6 linked regions of the Kluyveromyces lactis genome follow. The protein of the gene in region 3 purifies or fractionates together with the protein of the main gene of each other region. This does not show direct contact. Links are inferred from orthologs where the notes say so. Each region holds a gene or a part of one and is shown on either strand. Other genes may lie near its edges.

Region 1 (2,398 bases), on a different chromosome or scaffold from region 3:
CAAAGTCTCCTTCTACGGGTACGGTTTCCCCAAGAACCTGAGAGGAAAGACGTTCGTGTTCGAGGGATTACCGTTTGAACATATCACATCCGTGCATAACAGACTGTTAAAATTGTATCCCGGTTCAAAACTAGTGAACAGTTTTACTGAAGCGGATAAGTTATTGGTATCGCCACCGAATGGTAAATTCATCCACGTTATCAGTGTGGAACCAAGGTTGCAAATATCAGACGAGTATGCCACCAGTGACAAGAAGAATGACAATAACAAGGTCAGATTGTACGTAGAAAACAGGGATTTGAAAACGTTTAGCAGTTCTAGAAGAGTTGCTGGGACACACGGAATCACTGATCTATGGGTAATAGAGTATATTTTTGAAACGAAATCCACTTTCCCAACATTAATGAATAGATCCGAAGTTGTGAAAGTCACTGAGAAACGTCTATCACCAATCAACAACGCCATCAAGTCGTTACAACAAAAGATCCAAGAACTGAGCGGACTTGAAGACATGTGCTATAAACTAATGAAAGAAAACGGCGATTGTTCTGAAGTATTTTCAGAACTGTCAAGAAATATCACAGGTACCATTGATGCACCTATTAACGGTGGTATTGCAGAGTATCGTGTATTCTATACGGATGAAGAAACCAAATCGAAACTAGATCCTGCTGATGTGGAATTATTAGTTGCTGCGTTCAACGAATTGACCATTGTCCTAAACCGTTGTCTCGCACTACACGGACAGCTGTGTCCAATCAGCTTAAGCAAGTCACATACGCTTTTGAAGGACTTATTCGCCAAGAATTTCGAAAAAGAGATCAAAGTTAGCGGAATCGATATCAACGAGACCAACGACGAAATAATCGCAAGAATAAAATCAATCCAGTCATCTCAGCAAAGTTTTTCCAAGAGAAGTAGTATGCTAATGTCAAGATCCATATTCTCAGAGAGCCACTCTATCAGATCTGCTGGAAGTAACGGAAGTGCAACAAAAAACAGTATGCATGATCTCACCGTTACCTCTTCCCATAGAACTACAAAAAGCAACGCGCCATCTCACGCAGCGTCACATGCTACGAGAATATCTCGTCCTACCACACATATCAGCATGCTAAGAAGCACAAGATAGCATAGAATAACTTTCTCCCACTGCAACTGTTCTAATTCTCACCTCATGTAGTCTATATAACAATCCAAATACATTTAGGAAAACATCAAAACGTACGGAGTGATTTATGTGCCTAAGCAATTTTTCCCGGTAAAAAATCGATCAAAAGCCAATTCTTTGCAGAGAGAGAGTTTGGATTAAACCTTTCTACCACAACTATTTTCAACGATCATTTGTTGTACATTCTTTTTATTTTACATTCGATTATTTCAGATCGTTGTTACTGTACAGTATAGTGTCTAGTGATATTACAGAGAGATAAAGAAGGAAAGCAAAGATGTTTAGAAGTGTATTCCGTGCTGCCCCAAGTTTGACCAGAGTTTCTGGATTGAGAAGCGGATTTGTAAAGCCAACTTTTTCAAGTGCTTCCAGGTTCTATGCTTCTTCTTCTCTATCCAAAGAAGAAATCACAACCCGTATTGCTGATGTGATTAAATCTTTTGATAAGACAGCTTCTGCTACTTCGATTACTGCTAACACTCAATTTTCCAAGGATTTAGGATTAGACTCATTGGATACCGTTGAATTGTTGGTTTCCATTGAGGAAGAATTCGATATCGAATTCCCAGATAAGGTTGCAGATGAGCTCAAGTCTGTCGGTGAAACTGTGGAATACATCGCTTCCAGCCCGGAAGCTAACTAAGCAATTGGGATCCGAAACGTTGCCCTTCGGTTTTACCAGAATTTAATGTGGAAGAATGTACATATATTGACACACATATATAACTTATAATGAAAGATAAGATAGTTTTGATGAACTGTTTCATGGCCAAAGTGCTATATGTAAACGTCTATTTGTATATCCTTATTACTCCATATGTTTGAACTTGATTTCCATCGGGTCATATGATTTGTAATTCAAACATTTTTCCTTGCGCCCAATGATCACTGAGTTCAATTTTTAAGGTTATGTAACATGCAAACCACATCTTTAGACAGACGGTTGTTGAGGTAAAGACAATGGTTATAAACGCCATTTAGTATTAGATCCGAACCCATATACTTCCAATATATAAAAAATGAGCCGTGAAGAGAGAGTTTTGAGTGATACTGATAATGAAAATACGAATGAGGAAATAGAGACTGGTATTGATTCCCCGGACGAATCATCTTCAGGGTTGTTCACAGCGGGACGCTCGTTACAATCGAACGTCATAGAAGACCACAACCCTGACTATATATCTGCAGATGCAGAATTGGCCGCAGAGATACCAGATGACACCGAAG
Region 2 (2,869 bases), about 300 kb from region 3:
TACCGATTGTATCACTGTATATAGAAAACAGTGTGCAACAAAGGCTGGCAGGAGAAAATAAGAAGTTCCAGCGATGTGGGCAGAAATAAGGTGAAACAACCACGATTCTTAGTGGTAGCCCTCGGTGGATACTCAATATGCTAAGATAGCTGTACTAACTGTTGTAGATTGCCGCTGTTCCCATTCTGCCTAGATATATAGACTAAAAACATTCCTGTCTTTCCTTGAAATTTAGCCCGTGTTATATAGAAAGATTCGCCTCGGATTTTAAAAACTGAAAAGAGATGCGACTCATTTTTTTGCGTTTGTAACGTTCATGGTCAAGAGACCGGCACCCTTACTTTACGTTCTGTTACATTCCGCCATGTATCTCAATTGTACATCTTATTGTACCTTTGTGCGGAGTAGATCACTTTATAATTTAATAACTAATTGCTTTATTGAAATGAATGTGAGTATTATTCTCGAAGGTCAAAGGTCCGAGAAAAGGCGTTCTTAAGGGTAAAAAGCTAAATAAAGGTAGCAGCCAAACGGGTAGGACAATTATTTTTGTGAGTGTCTTTGTGAGACAAATAGGTTTCTCGACTCTTCAGTCCCGTTCCCAGCACAGTTGGAATAGTGCTTCTGTTAAGCAGGTTTGCAGGCCGGAATTTAGGTATGTGGTTAGAATATTGTTCGTATATAATGATAAAATAACATCTCCGGAATCATGAGTAAGCAATGGTCTGCAACCGAATTCTAGCTGGGTCAGCTCTTCTTCTGACAGTTTATTTACCTCATCCTCATGTCTAATTGAAGTGTATATAGGGGACATAACGGTTTGAAATTATAACTTATGCCTTGGTGAATCTCAAGTATGGTTTAATAGTCTTGAAATCACCGAACTTCTTGGACGCATCAGCATCGGACACAGTTGGTGGGATGATGACATCTTGACCTGGTTGCCAGTCAATTGGAGTGACAACACCCTTGGAGTCACCCTTTTGCAAGGCGTCAATGACTCTCAACACTTCGGAGGAGTTTCTACCGACAGAGGCTGGGTAAGTGATAATCAATCTGATCTTCTTTGATGGATCGATGATGTATACGGATCTGATGGTAGCAACGATTCCATTGTTCAAATTCTTGAAACCTTCTTCGTCGACCATATCGTATAGGAAAGATACTTCTCTGTCAACATCAGCGATGATTGGGAAAGTGAACTTGTCTAATTGAGACACTTCTTCAATGTCCTTGATCCATTTTTGATGGGATTCTATACCTTCAGCAGATAGACCAATCAACTTCACGTTTCTTTGGTCGAATTCTGGCTTCAACTTGGCAAAGGCACCCAATTCAGTTGTGCACACTGGGGTGAAATCAGCTGGGTGAGAGAAAAGAACAGCCCACGAGTTCCCAATGTATTCATGGAAATTGACCTTACCCGCAGTAGTATCAGCTGTGAAATTTGGAGCAACAGAGTTGATTCTCAATCTTGGTTGGTCTTCTTGCTTGAAAGTTCTGATGAATCTAACAGAAGTTCTGAGAGGTTGCTGGCGCAATACAGAACTCTTTGTTTGAAGCAAAGCACGTTGGAACATCATCTTGAAGTGTGTTTATCTGACTACGTGAGTTGGCAGGTCTAATATGTCGCTATAATCGATGAAAGTTGTTCAATTAAAAAGTTGGAGAACTATCAATGGTATAACTTTGTTAGTAAGAACTTCTTCCCCTTATATATGGTGTAAATGTTGTTGCAATGTATTAACTGTGGCTCCCCATATACTGGACGATTTTCTGTTTCTTTACAAATCTATTTCACGGTAAATGCAGTATGTTTTGCTGAAAATTGAAGACATGAAAAAAAGGCCAAGATTTACGATCACGTGATTTGGCCTTGATGACAGTAAGATTTACCTCTTGGTCTTTCAATGTTTAACTAGAAGTTTAATCTTTTCTTGCCTTGAGTTGACTTTAAACATTGAAAAGAACATATTATGCTTTGAAGAATAAATGAACCATTGTCATTTCTTTGCCATTAAGATATACTAATAATGATGTATATGCATTTTCCGAACTATTTTACTGATATCCAGATTTTAAATACAATGATTTATACATTGAGATGGCCGAGGTCTATAAGTTCTAAGAATAAACTGAGAAAAACATGCAGTTGCTTGTAGATAGTTTCCCTATTTCTACTTAGCTCACATAATCACGCAACCTTTCTTGGTCTTTTCCCCATTCTTACGTTTACTCTTGCTCTTTAAGTTCTTCTTAATTGAATCGATGCCGTTCTTTTCATTTTCTCCAAGAGCTGGTTTAGTTTGAGGAATGGAGATCTTGTCCAATTTGGGGTCAGAAAGAGATCTTAAATTAGGTGTCTTTTCTACATCCTGGTCATGTAAGCTCTTCTGACCACTAGCTGACAGGGTATTCTGATGTTCCATCGCAGACTGCTTTTGTAGTGAAGCAGACAATGTGCTTGGGGTTTCTTGTTGTGGATGCTGCAGTTGTTCAACGGGTATCGAATTGTTCCGCTTATTTTTCTTAGATGGATCCGTCAGATTTTGCTCCATATCAACAAAAGTTCCCGGCTTATCATCTTGGTCCAAATTCAGATGGAACGATTTTCTTTTACCCTTTTCTTCATTGTTGTCCAGTAAGAAATTGAAATTAAATGTACTTAAACTCTTCGACTTTCTTGAGGAACGATCTTTAATCTTCAGTTTGTTCAAGGCTCTCGGATCCTTGTTATCAGCAGCTAACTGATACCATTTCATAGCATTTTCAGTGTTTGGTTCACATCCTTTCCCCTTTTCATAGAAATATCCAACTGTGAATTGAGCCTTCGGATAACCTAACTTGGCCGCCCTCAGCGCCCATTCAA
Region 3 (4,302 bases):
ACACAGCGGCTCGGAACTAAACAAAAAATCTGGACCGAATTTAGATGTCAATTACAATATAAACAGTACTATTCCTTTAAACAAAGCTGTGGAACATAAGAAGCAAAATTTAAAAGAGGTTATCAGATTAACTGAGTTACAATTAATGAAGCTAAAAGAAAAAGCAAATTTAACCGATAACTCGACTTAATCGCAATTTGTAACTAATATATAATATTCATAGGCATAGTTAATCACATTTGGCTTTATATCTTCTAGCCGCCATCAAAAGTAAAGAGGTCAATTGAGCTGACCTTGCCTAAAAGTCCATGTCTCATATATTGATTGCATCATCTTGGTACGTATTTACATGTATAAAAGTTTAATATTTGGCCATAAAGCAGTCCGTAATATTATTATCGAATTACTACCGGGGCGGTCTAACAAGGGTGCATAATTTAGGAATTCAGTGGAAACGCACAGAAAGTCAAGAATATCGATCATTACGCTGGAGAGTTAGCAATTGCGGGTGTTCAACGAGATTTACTCAACATCAGCTTGCTTGTCATTTCCGAGTTCACTTGATTCGGGATCGTGGTTTGGTTTAACCACTAACTTGCTATCTTCAATAACCACATTTACAGTCTCCTCGTGTCTCAATTGACCCCTTAGCAATTGAATAGCCATTGGATTTAGGATTTGTTTATGGATCAATCTGTTCAAAGGTCTAGCACCGTACAATGGGTCATAACCTCTTTCAGTTAACCAATCCTTAGCTTCGTCAGTTAGATTTAGGGTCATACGCTTGTCGTTCAATCTTTCTTGAATTTCCTTGAGTCTAATATCGACGATTGAACGGAGAACTTCTTTTGATAGTCTGTTAAAGACAATCAAATCATCAATACGATTGACAAATTCTGGAGGATAGTTCTTTTTAACAGCTTCAATTACGCTTCTCTTAGTCTTCTTGCTAACCTTACCATCATCACCTAATTCGGTATCATGCAGCAAAATGTCTTGGCCGATGTTCGATGTCATAACAACAATGGTGTTACGGAAATCAACTTGGTGACCTTGAGAATCTGTTAGTTTACCTTCATCCAATACTTGCAATAAGACTTTACAAACATCTGGATGAGCCTTTTCGAATTCATCAAATAATACAACAGCATATGGCTTACGTCTCACGGCTTCAGTTAACTGACCACCGCTTTCACTTAACACATAACCGGGAGGTGCACCGATTAATCTTGATACTGTATGTTTCTCCTGGAATTCAGACATATCAAATCTGATAACGTTAGATTCATCATCAAACAAAAACTCTGCCAAAGCTTTAGTTAATTCTGTCTTACCGGTACCAGTAGGTCCCAAAAACATGAAACTAGCAATAGGTCTCTTTTCACTGGTCAATCCAGCTCTTTGTAAACGCACTGCGTCACTTATAGCATCGATTGCTTCATCTTGACCAACAACTCTTTCTCTTAATGAATTCTGCATATATAGTAATCTGTCCTTATCACCTTTCAAAACGGTTTCCATTGGAATACCTGTCATCTTGGCAATGACTTTAGAAATGTCATCAGAGGTAACAGAGTCATGTAACAAGTTGTTTTCAGTATCCTTCTTGCTGTTCAGTGCTACTTTTCTTTCCAATTCAGGGATCTTGGCATATCTTAGTTCAGAAGCCTTGGCATAATCACCTTCTCTTTGACAAATATCCAATTCGGTTCTCAACTTATCTAAATCTTCCTTGGCAGTCTTGATGGAATCCAATTCAGATTTTTCGGTTTCCCAAATTTCAGTCAACCTCTCCAATTCTTTCTTCTTCACTTCCAAATCCTTTTCAAGTTCCTCTCTTCTTTCAACAGAAACGGGATCAGTTTCTTTCTTCAAGGATTCTAATTCAATTTGCATTGTCATAACAGCCCGATCAATTGCTTGAATGGAGTCAGGCTTTGACTCGTGTTGCAAACGTAAAACAGCACATGCTTCATCGACCAAATCAATAGCTTTATCTGGGAGGAAACGGTCGTTAATGTATCTGTTGGATAGCACAGCAGCGGAAACTAAGGCTGAATCTGTGATTCTTACACCGTGGTGCACTTCATACTTTTCCTTTAGACCTCTCAAGATTGAGATTGTATCATGAACAGAAGGTTCATTCAAGATGATAGGCTGAAATCTTCTGGTCAAGGCAGGGTCTTTTTCAATGATTTTGAATTCATCCAATGTGGTAGCACTGATACAACGTAACCCTCTTGCCAAACGCGGTTTCAAGATATTCGAAGCATCCATAGAGCCATCTGTCTTACCCAAGCCTAGTAACATGTGAACTTCATCGATGAAAACAATGATCTTACCATTGGACTTATCAATTTCATCCAAAACGTTCTTCAACCTTTCCTCGAATTCACCACGGTACTTAGCACCAGCGACCAATGAACTTAAATCCAAAGCGTATAAGTCTTTGTCTTTCAAAGATTCTGGCACTTCATTGGCAACAATTCTTTGAGCTAAACCATCAATCAACGCAGTCTTACCGACACCGGCTCTACCGATCAACACTGGATTGTTCTTGGTTCTACGCGAAAGAATTTGGATAGCTCTCGATATTTCCTGATCACGACCAATCACTGGGTCTAATTTCCCCTGTTTAGCCAACTCCGTTAAATTCGTACCGAACTGTTGTAAAGCTGATTCTCCACCCTCCTGATCTTTATTCAAATTTAAATTATAATTCTTAGCATAGCTACGAACAGAAGCGACATTGAATGCAGTAGAAATGGGCGGTATACTACTTATATTGGGCCTTCTAGCACCAATATTTAAACCAGATATAACTTTATTACCCCGGCTTATTCCAACTGTAGTTTGGTTTGGTTTTTGAACCAAACTGCTAAAAGACCGGCACGTACATCCAAGTTCAACATCAGATATACTAGGTTGATATATTTTAACGTTCTTTAATAGCGACGTCCGACTTAGCTTACGATTCAAATTTTCAGCAGACCTTAGCATTATTTAATCCACTCTGATTGTAATTTCTTGATTCACTATTTCACCTGCAAACTGTGTAGTTGTTTGAATAAGGCTGCTATTAATAAACAATCTGACCAAACGTAACTGAATCAGTGGTTGATCTGACTGTATGCCTCTTGCTGAGCTTTACTGTTGTTGTTTTTCTGAATTCTCCCTTGTTCTTATATACTTCGAAATGTCTCAACCGCCGAGGTCTTTCTGTTGTTTTCTCCCGAATTCTGGAAAAACATGGAATTTTGGTCACATGACGTTCAATTTTGGCACGTGATTAGGAACTAAAGCAGGGAGTTATATGGATCTTGTGTTCACTATGGACAAGCAAAGTACCAAGCAGGAACGGAGAAAAGGTTTGAATATAGAAATTGGAATGTCTTGTAGGAAGTCAGGTCAATTACTTACTAAAAAGTGATACGTAAGGGAAAAAACTGCGGATGTGAGAACTGTGATTGGGAATGCGTGTATGCGTTAAGAGTTAATTATTGTCAAACAAGATTTACATTAGAACTAAGAGCGATGGTGCAGTGATTCATCAAAGGTTTATCTTTTGCTGGTACTGACCTAGTTGGAACTTGAGCATTCTGTTTTCTGCCTTGTAAGTTTCAAGTTCTGCTGCTATTCTGTTGTAGTCTCTTGCCTTGAATTCAAGATCCTTGATATATTTCTCTCTTCTCTGTCTGAATGCTCTCTGAGCGTTCCTGTTCTGGGCAGCACGCTTGGTGTTGCGCAATGCTTTTCCCGACTTTCCAATTAATTCTCCTTCGGTATTTAGACGTTCGCCGTCATTTATCATTGTGATTGTAGGTAACGTCGAAGTAGCCAATGTCGTGGAGTTTTGTAGTAGCGACGCCGGGTTTGAACCTGATGTCTGTGACGACTGGTTACCTGTTGCGTTTGTCGTGGAAGAGTTGATACCCGTGGTACCGTTGATAGTATTGGTGGAGGTTGTGGTATTATTACTATTAGGTGGGTTCATTGGGAGATCCGTAAGGTCGGATTTCATGTTCATCATTCTTTGAGAAGCCGTGTTTGGCATGTTATTTAGACCCGGTATACCGCCGTTGTACATGACACCGCCGCCGCCATTGGAATTATTTGTAAGTTTAGCGTTCGCATTTGGATTGGTATTGGAATCAGACCCGCTGTTCAACATCATAGGCATCTGCATGCCCATCAACGTACCGTTACCAGAACCATTCGTGTTGATACGACCAGTACCGCCTAGTTCTGCCCCGACCGGGGTAGTGGTCACAGAGGGCGTAGTGGAGTTCCCAAGCGTTGAGT
Region 4 (3,927 bases), on a different chromosome or scaffold from region 3:
TTCTACGAAGCCATTGAAGATATTGTTTTCTTGTAAGATCAATCTCATCGAATTTATTCTGTTTCAGCACTCTACTTTCTATTTCTTTGAACTCTATTAATTTCGTTAACTCATTGACGGTATATTTGAATCCCTTGGAGTCGAAATAGGTAGACCAGGTGGATTTGACTCCGACTTTATACATCCCTAATACAAATTTACCAAGTCGAAACCATTTCACAAGAGGTTTTCTCCAGTTTGAAATAGAGTCATCCTGTTTAACCGCATCAGTTATTTTTGTAGTAGGAATATGTGTTACTGGTAATGTCGCACTCACATTTAGATTAGTTTCGGGGCATTTGTCAGAGTATACTTTTATAGCTATCTTTCCATTTTGATTCAGTTGGTATAGACGATTCAAAAGAGCGTTTGAAGCTAAAGATTCTTTAAACGCAGAGTTCGAAGATATATCGATTGGTGTTCTCTGTGTACTGTATCCGCGCTTGACGATATATCCAACCCTGTTGGCCACAGTCATTGGCTTGAGTCGTTTTGTTTACTTGGGCACTTCAATATCATATTAAAACCCAGCCAGATATTATGATAGTAATTGTTGGAGTTATTTTAGCATAAATGGAAATTTAGAATTTCATAGCTTAAACTGGATAATACAGGAAATTAGGCCAACATTCTTTGATTTCATATAATGATGGTCACAAGAACGCTCCTCTGCTGTAAACCAGGAAGGCAAAAAAATTTATAGCTATAGAGTTGTTCAGAATATTTATTTACAAGAAGAAAAGTCTGTTCGCAGATTTAGGCATCTTCCGTGCGAGAAATAACGTAATCTCCTTTCTCATTTTTTACCAAAATGCCACCTTGAACTAGGTTATCAAACATATCTTGTGGCATCCATCCTTGGGTAGCGGCAAATGGTTGGGAAATCAGTTTCTCATGATAAGCGTTCAATGCATCAGCATGCTTTTTGACTTCTTCTTCGGAATATTTTAGTGGGTATTCAGCGGCATTTACTAATTTGTTATTAGCGAAGATCGGCCAGACTTCAGCCAATTGAAGAAGAGCTTCTTCAATCAAAAGGTATTCTTCGTCGGACTTTCTTTCGATGGCAGCCACATAAGGGTTTCTCAAAACTTTGATTGGTGGAGCGACAGAAGAGATCAATTCAGGTAAGTTTTCATTTAAAGCAAACTCCCATAAAAACTGGTTACGAGTACGCTTGTACATGAACTCAAGTTTGGCTTTTTCCGATTCTTCCATGTCCTTGTACCCTTCAATATCCTTTTCTAGGTCATAGATTTTTGGTCCATCGTAGGCAACAAATTGAGGAGTGTTTTGTAAAATGTAAGGCTTAATGGATGATCCTTCAAAGTCCAATAAGTAAGGAACATCATCATCTTCTTTTAAAATAACATTCATTGGGTCTAAATCTGGATGATGTAAACGAGGCTTTAAAAGATTCTCCATTTTCGGAATAGAAGTGGTTTTAGTATTAATTAGATCTGGGGCAACTTTGGCAAGATTATCAAAAGTCTTTATTTGATCTTTCAATATATCTTCGGCGACAACTTCTGGCGATGCGTGAGCTTGGACAAGACCTAGTCTAGCACGAGCGTTTTCCGCTTCCAGTAATCCTGTACATTTGACGATATCTAAAGGAGATGATATATCCCATGGTCCTAAATATTGTTTGCGGTCATCGAAGTTCAAAGTAGACTTTTTTCTCCATAAGCATCTTTCAACACTTGGGCCAATTCTCCATCTATCTTTTAATTCTTCATTTGTTTCACCTTCATAAGCCGACTCTTCAGAAGTTTTGTAATCCTTGGCAAAATATAAACTTCCGAAGGCGTTAAACTTAACTTCTGCGAGCTTGGCCTGGAACTTAGAAATAGGATTAATGACAGCATTTAACTTATCCTTATGAGATTTGCCATCCTCGGCGTCATTCTCCAACGGAGTCCAACTTCTCATTAGAAGCGTACCTTCTATATATTCCTCCAAAATGAAAGGCTGTCTGACAGGGTTCAAAGCATTAACACCGAAACTGTAAACTTTTGGAACTTTAAGACCCAGTTTGAGATCGGCAAAATCCATAGTGGCCACTTCACTCTTCAATCTGTAAGCAAGGGTATTTTCATCGTCCAATGCGTATGGAATTCTTAAAACAAAGGACTTTTCGGCGTTGGTATCAATTTTGTATATTCTGTGATGCTTACCTTCATGGATGCTAGCCATTGACACAATTCTGATCTTTTCATTGGGATTAACTGTCCCGATATTCTCAATTTTAACATTGTGTGGGAGAGAAACAGTTAAGTTTGGTAAATAAGCTGGTGGTGGAATGCTGCTTTTCGATAATCTTTTAGCGTTTTCTATGGATTGCTTATACAAATCATCAATCACGCTGTTCAAACCCTCGAGAGAGAACTTAGTAATTCTCTTCTCCTTTTCTTGTTTATCATTCTTCAACCATGTACCCCATGAGTATTTGAAGAAAGCATCCCTCTGCGGATCATTTTCATCAGATAACTTTGTGAATACCTCTTCTGGCTTATCTGATACTGAGCGAACGAATAGCTTGCCAATTTTGGTGCTAGAAACTCGCAACGAACTCTTAGGCACACTTCTAACGCATCTGGAACCGATTCTTAACATTTTCACTGTCAATTGTGGACCTTAGCGTCTTAGGAGTATAGCTGTCAACGGTTTAAGTGTCATCCAATAACATATCTCTGTGAATGTTCGCAGTTTAACGTCTTAAATTGTGACTGGCACTGTAATTAATTTCTGTTCGCTATTATCATCGGAGTCAGGGTAAATAAGGTTAAATTGACTGACGTTACAAAGTAGAAATGTATAGATCCCCTCCTGGACAAACACCTTGAAGGAAGAAGGAGTATGTAATGAGCTGATTAGTTTATCATTGACATTTGTAATCACTCTTCAATTAAATCGGACTGCTAGTGTTGGCTGTCGTTTATTTTAGTTATATTGCTCCTAAAGTATATGATTTATTCCTAGTTAAACACTTTATGATAGAAACTTAGTTTAGATATTGAAAACTTAAACTCAGTTCTCAAAGATAATAGCATAATGAGGACTGACACATCTTTGCCGAGGTACCGTAGGTGCTAAAACTAGGAGTAAACCAACATTACTAAAGTAAATAAACGTGATAATATGAAATACATAGAGGCGTCAAAATGTTCCGTGTAAAATAATCCAACACTCCAGATAACCAATGAAAGAAACAACAAATAAATGAAATGAAGATACATAAAAAAACTCTGAAATGAAGTGAATGGAGATAAATGAAACGCTTGTGGCGTTAGAGGTTTTAATTTTTACAATTGTGTTCGATTTTTTTTTTAGAGTGTGCTTTTTTTTGAATTTGTTTTTTGTTAAGTTAGTCCTGCTCTTTGAAGAAGATGTCTCCTCGTGTGTTTACTAAAATCCTTGTGTGTAGTATTCTAATCGTTGTCACTATCAGCAGCAACCAGAACTGAGGGTATGTTTTTCATGTCATGCAAATACGACATATCATCGCCCATTGTGCTCAAATTAGTTTCCAATTCGCTATTTACCCTAGGAATAACGTTGGGATTATTGAAATCATTCAACAGGTTTTCTTGCAGCTCTCTTGGCTGTTGTTGCAGTTTCGAAGGCGTGAGCGACTCACGAGACATGCCGTTCAAAGAAACACTGTCTAACCTAGAATCCTCAACACCTGTTCTTGACAAAGCGTCTGTACTTAATAATTTAATCTTTTCTCGAAGAGTCATGGGTGGACCAATAGGAGAATCAAGTTCGTCTGCAACGTTCGACCCATTATTTTTTTTTGGTTTCCAGTAGGATTGCGACATGGAATTCAACAGATTAAGCGAGTACTGTGGGATTCCATACCTCTGTACCCTTCTCCCCTCAACA
Region 5 (3,576 bases), on a different chromosome or scaffold from region 3:
TTCTATCAGGGTTATTAGTACTTATTTTTAATTTTATTATTATTATGATCATTCACCGTGTGCTTCGAACGTTATGTACATTGGTTTGAGGGGGGGAATCTTTTTCCTAGAACAATGAATGAACAGTTTCATAGACACCTAGGAAGATGGCACCACCAGCACTGATCCACATTGTTCTTGGTCCAACACCACTGAAAAAGACCTTGACACCTTCTTCTTGCAACATAGTCTTGGCCAAATGAAGAGCTGAGACGGACTTATGGTGCAACATGATTCTCGTCTTCAACACATCTAATGGCGTCGTGGCAGCAGCAGCGATCCCACCGGCTATACACCCACAAACAGACCCCTGCCAAGGCGCGGCGCGCTCTTTACCTTGCACCTCGGCCCACCTCTTCTTCATATACTCATACAATGGGAATTGAATACATGTAAACGGGATTTCCCTCATTATGGTAGTGGACCAGCCACGGTACAGATTCCTGCGCAAACCTTCTCCGTTCTCATTACGTAGTAACGCCTGCAAAGTTTGCAAAGAAGAATTTGTCCTATGAGTCTGTGTCCGTTGCTTGATCACTTCAGCAGGAACACGAACCATACATGCAGAAATCTCACCAAAACTAGAAGAGACCATATGCGAAAGCGTATCTGCCGTTTGATCTTCACCTTTTGGCAAAAGCTGACCGATAACAGGCCGCGACCAGCACTTCATCGAATCATACGCAACGAAAAACAAAGAAGCACTTGGTGCACTCGCAACAACCGCGCTCCCAAGACCACGGTACACACCTTTGTATCCACCATTGGCGAAAAACCCACCTTTAGCTTGTAACCGGGTTTTCAAGGTGTCTATTGGGAAAAATGCCAGATCGGTCGACGTTCCTGCTGCGGCACCACTCACCAAGGACGCAATAAACATCTGAGAATCCATTTCGCACTATTCCCCCAAACTCCGATCTATAAAAGACTCGTCTGAGTCTGTAATTGATGTACAATTCGTCTTTCAAACCAGGTGATGGTGCAACAAATGCAAATCTTTAAATCATACATATGTATATGTTCGGTTCACTGCTCTGGCTTCTTTTTTTTTCAACATAGGATTTGAGGAAAAAAAATCGAGAAATGAAAATAATTGGAATTTGGGAGGGAAACACATCTTGACTAATGCAAGAATCAGAATCAAAATAGAGGAGAAGAAGAGTTTAGAGAGCAACAAAGGGTCTATATTCTCAGTTGCGTATTAGGAAATTGTCTGATAGTACAAGACCTAATTTTAGAAACAAGAATTGATTGATACATTCAGTGTACTTTCAGTGATATCCCAGGTTTTTTTGTTCATTGTTTTTAAGGACAAAAGCTCGGTTTTAAAAGGAGTTATAGTTCTAAGATCGTATACAAGTTTCAAGCAACAGTCTACTATCCTAAGATAGATATTGTAATGACGATGACATTGTTAAGAGGAGTGAGTGTTTTTTCCAGGCGTGTGCCCGTTGCTGGTGGTTTTGGCTATTTGAAGCGTGCTGATATTAGTAACGTTGTTTTACAGGGACGGACGTATGCAAGTGCCAAGGTTGCCTTAGCAGAAGATTTGACTTTGGAAACGCATACAGATAACCAAGCAGCAGCTATTGAGCAAGCCAACGAAAGAGCCGTGTCAAATCCCGATGTTTTGGACAGTGGTATACATTCTTTGCAACATGCATACCGTGAATCCGGGGAATACGGTACAAGACCTATATATCTCGACATGCAAGCTACCACTCCAACAGACCCAAGAGTTCTAGATACCATGTTGAAATTCTACACGGGGCTTTATGGTAATCCTCATTCAAATACTCATAGCTATGGTTGGGAAACTAACAAGGAGATCGAACAAGCAAGAAAATACATCGCCGATGTTATCAAAGCTGATCCAAAGGAGATAATCTTCACTTCCGGTGCTACAGAATCAAATAATATGGCTTTGAAGGGTGTCTCAAGGTTTTACAAGAAGACAAGAAACCATATTATCACTACAAGAACTGAACACAAGTGTGTGTTAGAAGCCGCCAGAGCTATGAAGAACGAAGGATACGAAATCACATTTTTGAATGTTGATGAGCAGGGTTTGATCAATTTAGAAGAGTTGGAAGCTGCGATCAGACCTGAAACTTGTTTAGTTTCTGTTATGGCCGTCAACAACGAAATTGGTGTTATGCAACCATTGAAAGAAATTGGTGAACTTTGTAGAAAACGCAAAGTTTTCTTCCATACCGATGCAGCGCAAGCTTATGGTAAGATACCTATCGATGTGAACGAAATGAAAATAGATCTGATGTCCATTTCCTCACACAAAATTTATGGTCCAAAGGGAATTGGTGCCATTTACGTTAGAAGAAAGCCAAGAGTCAGATTAGATCCGCTTATCTCCGGTGGTGGTCAAGAAAGAGGTTTACGTTCTGGTACATTGGCTCCACCTTTGGTTGCCGGCTTCGGGGAAGCAGCAAGATTGATGATGAAAGAATACGAGAACGACTCAAATCACATTAAAAGATTATCTGACAAATTAATGAACGCTTTGTTATCTATTGACCATACAATCTTAAACGGTTCTGCTGACCATCGTTACCCAGGTTGTGTTAACATTTCATTCGCATATGTCGAAGGTGAATCCTTATTGATGGCTCTTAGAGATATTGCTTTGAGTTCTGGTTCTGCTTGTACTTCGGCATCTTTAGAACCATCTTATGTGTTGCATGCATTGGGTAAAGATGATGCTTTAGCACACTCTTCCATCAGATTCGGTATTGGTAGATTCACCACTGATGAAGAAATTGATTACGTTATCAAGGCTATCACGGAAAGAGTTGATTTCCTAAGAGAGTTGTCCCCATTATGGGAGATGGTCAAGGAAGGTATTGACTTGAACTCCATCGAATGGTCAGGTCATTAAGCTGGAACAAAAGTGATCTATATCATAGATTCATCATTTTATTTTCTTGCTAGAGTGCATACCAAATCTTTATCTGGTTTCTCAATTTACATGATCTCCCGTTATAACTCGGGGAACTACTACCGTATATACTTTGTTCCTCGATTTCAAAGTACAATCATAATCTCATCTGACTTATCGTTTTTTCTTTTATCTTTCTCTTCATCTCAATATTATGATTAGATTGTTTTGTAAGCTTTTCTACCTGAAATATGCACCAATATTCAGAATATCTCGTTTGCCAGTTTTTATACAAGTCTTTCTATAGTTAAGTATAAAAATGTTATGTTATTAACGTTCAAATGCTCAATCACATCTGGACAAGCAAATTTCCTTGTCTTCAGTTCATTTTGGGTATGCTCCTTTAGATTTAACACATTGCAGGCTAACCGGAACCTGTATTATTTAGTTTATGCTACGTTAAATAAAGACCTTTCGTTCACATAACTGAATGTGTAATGGCCTTGAGATTTCAAGCATACCAAGTTGGTGGAGACGGGGTCGTTACAAAAGACTCTTTAAGCCAAGATTTCCTTGACAGCCTTGGCGATAGCATCGCCAACCTCAGTGGTAGAGTTAGAACCACCAAGGTCACCGGTTCTGAC
Region 6 (4,284 bases), on a different chromosome or scaffold from region 3:
AAGTGTGTAATGTCATCTTTTTCGTGTTTTTGGTGAAGTTCGATGGTATAGCTCGGATAAGCCGATACTAAGGGAAAGAAAAAGAAAGAGATAGAGAGATAATACGAATGATATGATACTTTATGATATGAAAAAAAAATGATAATGTTGAGATAGACAGGGTGAATAATAATAAAATGAAGAATGTGTGTTGGTATTTTTTTTTTCGTTAAAGGGTTTTTATGGTTTTGGTTTTTCTAGTATACTACTACTAGTATCTTCTCAATCAATCTTTTTCTTAATTGTATTTGATGATATCAAATCTTTGAAATCTTAGGGAATATTTGAATGGTCTCTAAGAGCAGATGTGAAAGTGCAAAAAACGATGGATAAAAGAAGAGTTAGAAATAAATAATATGGGGGGGTTGTAAGTGGGAGGGAAATTTGTGCTTTGTTTTTGATGTTGATTGAACCAAAAGAAGAGAAGAGGTCAAATTTATACTTGAAAAATTTGATCTATTCAGTTCTTAGCCTTCTTGGCGTTAGCCAATCTGTTCAAAGCAGAACCGGCCTTGAACCATTCGATTTGTTCAGCGTTGAAAGTGTGAGACAATGGGGTTTCCCAAGCTTCACCTTCCTTTGGATGAACTCTCATGATCAAGTTCTTACCTGGAGCTAGAGTAGTCAAACCCAAGATGTCGATGGTGTCATCTGGGTTGATCTTGTCGTAAGCAGCTGGTTCAGCAAAGTTCAAAGGCAACATACCTTGTTTCTTCAAGTTAGTTTCGTGAATTCTTGCGAAGGATTTGGTAATAATAGCGAAACCACCCAAGAATCTTGGTTCCAAGGCAGCGTGTTCACGAGAAGAACCTTCACCGAAGTTTTCACCACCAATGACAACCCATCTGATACCTGCATCTCTGTAAGCTCTAGCAGTGTCTGGAACACCGGCGTATTCACCAGTGTAGTGGTGCTTGACACAGTTAGCCTTCTTGTTTTCAGCGTTAATAGCACCAATCATATAGTTGTTTGAAATGTTTTCCAAATGACCTCTGTACTTCAACCATGGACCAGCCATAGAGATATGGTCAGTGGTGGTCTTACCTAGAGATTTGATCAAGATTGGCATATCGAAAGCATCCTTACCATCCCAAGCCTTGAAAGGTTTCAACAATTGTAGACGGTCAGACGTTGGAGAAACTTGGACAGTAACGGAAGAACGGTCCTTTGGTGGAGCTTGGTAAGTGTTTTCACCTGGGTCGTAACCCTTAACTGGCAAACCAACACCAGTTGGTGGTTTCAACATGAATTCGTTACCGTCCTTGTCCTTCAAAGTGTCGGTTAGAGGGTTAAATCTCAAATCACCAGCAATGGCGAAAGCGGTAGTGATTTCTGGAGAGGCAACGAAGGAGTGAGTATCTGGGTTACCATCGTTTCTAGCAGTGAAGTTTCTGTTGAAAGAGGAAACAATGGTGTTCTTGTCACCCTTCTTGATATCTTGTCTGTCCCATTGACCGATACATGGACCACAAGCGTTAGCCAAAACGGTACCACCGAATTCTTTGAAAGTTTCCAATTGACCATCTCTAGCGATGGTAGCTCTGATTTGTTCAGAACCTGGAGTCACAGTGAAGATAGACTTAGATTTTAGACCGTGGGTAGCAGCATCCTTAACGACGGAAGCAGCTCTGGACATATCTTCGTAAGAAGAGTTGGTACAAGAACCGATAAGACCGACTTTAACTTCTAGAGGCCAGTTGTTCTTGACAGCGACATCCTTCATCTTAGAGATTGGAGTAGCCAAATCTGGAGTGAATGGACCATTGACATATGGTTCCAAAGTGTTCAAATCGATTTCGATGATTTCATCGTACTCAGCACCTTCATCAGCGGACAACAAATCCTTGTGGTACAATTGAGCGAATTGAGCAATCTTGTCTCTACCAGTAGCATCCAAATAGTCAATCATAGACTTGTTGAATGGGAAAACGGATGTAGTGGCACCGATTTCAGCACCCATATTACAGATGGTACCCATACCAGTAGCACTGAAAGTGTCAACACCGTCACCGAAATATTCAACAATCTTACCAGTACCACCTTTGACGGTAGTGATACCAGCCAACTTTAGAATAATATCCTTTGGAGAAGTCCAACCGTTCATTCTACCGGTCAACTTAACACCCATAATCTTTGGAGCCTTCAATTCCCATGCCAAATCGGACATGACATCGACAGCATCAGCACCACCAACACCAATAGCCAATTGACCTAGACCACCAGCATTTGGAGTATGCGAATCGGTACCAATAATCAAAGCACCTGGGAAAGCATAGTTTTCCAAAACGATTTGATGGATAATACCGGAACCTGGCTTCCAGAAACCCATATTATATTTAGCAGTAGCAGTAGCCAAGAAATCGTAAACTTCCTTGTTGATATCAATGGCTCTCTTCAAATCCTTTTCACCACCAATTTGAGCTTGAATCAAATGGTCACAGTGAACAGTCAATGGCTTAGCAACTTGAGGTAAACCTGCTGACATGAATTGCAAGATAGCCATTTGAGCGGTAGCATCTTGACAAGCAACACGATCTGGTCTCAATTTCAAATAAGAAACACCTCTTTCGATTTCTTGACCATGAGGATCATCCAAATGACCGTACAAAATCTTTTCTGCGTATGTCAATGGACGTCCTAGTCTTTCTCTGACGATATTGACATACTCAATGTTTTGTTTATAGTTAATGAAGGAATGGTCTTCCAACAAATTTTGATGAACTTTAGAGTCTCTAGTCATAGTACTAGAGACTCCGGTAGCCAAGTGTCTGATGACTCCTTGTCTAACGACTCCTTGCTTCTTCAAGGCAACACGAGCAGACAACATTATCTCAGTGCAGTTTAAGCGGGGTTTAATCCTTGATAGATGTAATACTATTAAAAACTGAAAATACTAAAAAAAAACCGCTGAACCTAATAAATACAGAAACAAATTGAATAACTCCAAGGAAAAGAAGAATCTAACAAACCGATAATGCTATATTATATATATAATGCCAAAATCTTCAACACATTTAGCCAGTATTAATTAAAAAACTAAAAATTACATCACGGTATAATGCTTTGCCCACTGTTTTTACAGTCATCATTTGATCCATTTGATCATTCACTGAGGGATTGAAACAGGAAAGCCTGTAAAAAATAATGAAACCAGAATAAACCAGAGAGGGAGAAAAAAAAAAAAAATTTCAAAAGCTGTTAAAGCCAAATGATGGTTCTAAGCTGTAGTAGCGAGCGGTAGAAGTGCCAGTAGCGGACGAGTCGAAACGACTGAATAAATGGAGTTTTAAAGGGGAATAAAGGATAGGAAATGAAAGGGCGCGGGGGTTTCTGCGCAGCGCGGTTAAAGGGTGGTGAGATACTTAGAATGGTACGTACGGGTGATTATGTGAGCTGGGGCCAGGACCGATTGTGATTGGCCAGTGGGCATTTTACGCTCGTTTGTCGAAGGGGCCGATGATGGGCGAGGCAAAAAAGGATGAAGAGCGGCTTCGGTTTCTCCATACATCCTTGCTTTTGTTTTTGTTTCGGGGGCGAGGGCGGTGGAGATATGGACCAAGGCCGAGGATCGGAAAAGGTAAAATAGTTTACCGAACTTGGGATGACCGAAGTTCGGTTTGCAGGGTAACAGAGTGGTACGGTATGGAGACCATGCCCGAGGATCGGGCATGGTTGTTGTTGTTGTTGTTGTTGTTGTTTTTTTTCCACTCTTCAATATGGAATTCCGTTCGTCAACCTTTGGAACTCATCGTAACCCTTTGTAAACATCGATTCGTAGGACCGGCGGATCAACTGTCTCATATGTTGGGCGGCTTCCTGAGGAGACTTACCCGGAACAAACCTGTTTCTCAAGTTCTTGATTGTCTTTTGTGCTTTAAAGCAGGGTAAGCTGCTCTCTAGCATGGGTACTATTCCATCGATGATCACGTTCATGTAGGGTCTTATACCTAGGAAAGTTGCAACGCATAGATCTTCGAATTGGCTGAACGCCTGGGTGTGTTGGCTACCGCCCATGACTTTGACCATCTCTTTTGTTAGCTTGAAGGGCACGGCTTCGAATTTCACTCCCCCAGGCACGATATCGAATATAAAACCGAAATCAATGTGTAGACAATGGCCCTGTGAGTCGTACATGATATTACCGTTGTGTCTATCCTTGAATTGTAGTAGGTAGGAGATGACGCTGTAAGCGGCTAAGGATTTCACGAAGTTGTTTCTTGCTCTTTGGAATTCAATGGTACTCTC

What was found.
Region 1: the proteins of HSP78 (region 3) and ACP1 purify together in Saccharomyces cerevisiae (affinity purification with mass spectrometry; 3 studies listed by BioGRID, with this or other methods). This does not show direct contact. The link is inferred for Kluyveromyces lactis from reciprocal best matches to the Saccharomyces cerevisiae genes HSP78 and ACP1.
Region 2: the proteins of HSP78 (region 3) and PRX1 purify together in Saccharomyces cerevisiae (affinity purification with mass spectrometry; 3 studies listed by BioGRID, with this or other methods). This does not show direct contact. The link is inferred for Kluyveromyces lactis from reciprocal best matches to the Saccharomyces cerevisiae genes HSP78 and PRX1.
Region 4: the proteins of HSP78 (region 3) and AIM9 purify together in Saccharomyces cerevisiae (affinity purification with mass spectrometry, with the first as the bait; 3 studies listed by BioGRID). This does not show direct contact. The link is inferred for Kluyveromyces lactis from reciprocal best matches to the Saccharomyces cerevisiae genes HSP78 and AIM9.
Region 5: the proteins of HSP78 (region 3) and NFS1 purify together in Saccharomyces cerevisiae (affinity purification with mass spectrometry; 3 studies listed by BioGRID). This does not show direct contact. The link is inferred for Kluyveromyces lactis from reciprocal best matches to the Saccharomyces cerevisiae genes HSP78 and NFS1.
Region 6: the proteins of HSP78 (region 3) and ACO1 purify together in Saccharomyces cerevisiae (affinity purification with mass spectrometry; 3 studies listed by BioGRID, with this or other methods). This does not show direct contact. The link is inferred for Kluyveromyces lactis from reciprocal best matches to the Saccharomyces cerevisiae genes HSP78 and ACO1.

Annotation. Positions count from the first base shown.
Region 1 is NC_006040.1:238,931-241,328, reverse strand, and holds ACP1 (acyl carrier protein), read left to right. Parts: upstream 1-1,448; coding exon 1,449-1,814; downstream 1,815-2,398. Other genes in the region: guanine nucleotide exchange factor DCK1, read left to right, coding at 1-1,132; type 1 protein phosphatase-activating protein SDS22, read left to right, coding at 2,191-2,398. UniProt on the Saccharomyces cerevisiae protein: Carrier of the growing fatty acid chain in fatty acid biosynthesis. May be involved in the synthesis of very-long-chain fatty acids.
Region 2 is NC_006041.1:1,802,505-1,805,373, reverse strand, and holds PRX1 (thioredoxin peroxidase PRX1), read right to left. Parts: upstream 1,584-2,869; coding exon 834-1,583; downstream 1-833. Other genes in the region: SHC1 (Shc1p), read right to left, coding at 2,187-2,869. UniProt on the Saccharomyces cerevisiae protein: Thiol-specific peroxidase that catalyzes the reduction of hydrogen peroxide and organic hydroperoxides to water and alcohols, respectively.
Region 3 is NC_006041.1:1,499,398-1,503,699, reverse strand, and holds HSP78 (chaperone ATPase HSP78), read right to left. Parts: upstream 3,001-4,302; coding exon 523-3,000; downstream 1-522. Other genes in the region: YSP2 (Ysp2p), read left to right, coding at 1-190; KLLA0_E16875g (bZIP transcription factor), read right to left, coding at 3,551-4,302. UniProt on the Saccharomyces cerevisiae protein: Required, in concert with mitochondrial Hsp70 (SSC1), for the dissociation, resolubilization and refolding of aggregates of damaged proteins in the mitochondrial matrix after heat stress.
Region 4 is NC_006039.1:661,671-665,597, forward strand, and holds AIM9 (Aim9p), read right to left. Parts: upstream 2,656-3,927; coding exon 796-2,655; downstream 1-795. Other genes in the region: PNT1 (Pnt1p), read right to left, coding at 1-517; KLLA0_C07601g (uncharacterized protein), read right to left, coding at 3,471-3,927.
Region 5 is NC_006040.1:421,905-425,480, reverse strand, and holds NFS1 (cysteine desulfurase), read left to right. Parts: upstream 1-1,438; coding exon 1,439-2,932; downstream 2,933-3,576. Other genes in the region: PET8 (Pet8p), read right to left, coding at 107-931; LEU2 (3-isopropylmalate dehydrogenase), read right to left, coding at 3,490-3,576. UniProt on the Saccharomyces cerevisiae protein: Catalyzes the removal of elemental sulfur from cysteine to produce alanine. It supplies the inorganic sulfur for iron-sulfur (Fe-S) clusters. Plays a role in both tRNA-processing and mitochondrial metabolism.
Region 6 is NC_006039.1:1,517,610-1,521,893, reverse strand, and holds ACO1 (aconitate hydratase ACO1), read right to left. Parts: upstream 2,867-4,284; coding exon 500-2,866; downstream 1-499. Other genes in the region: 1-phosphatidylinositol 4-kinase STT4, read right to left, coding at 3,751-4,284. UniProt on the Saccharomyces cerevisiae protein: Catalyzes the isomerization of citrate to isocitrate via cis-aconitate, a step in the citric acid cycle.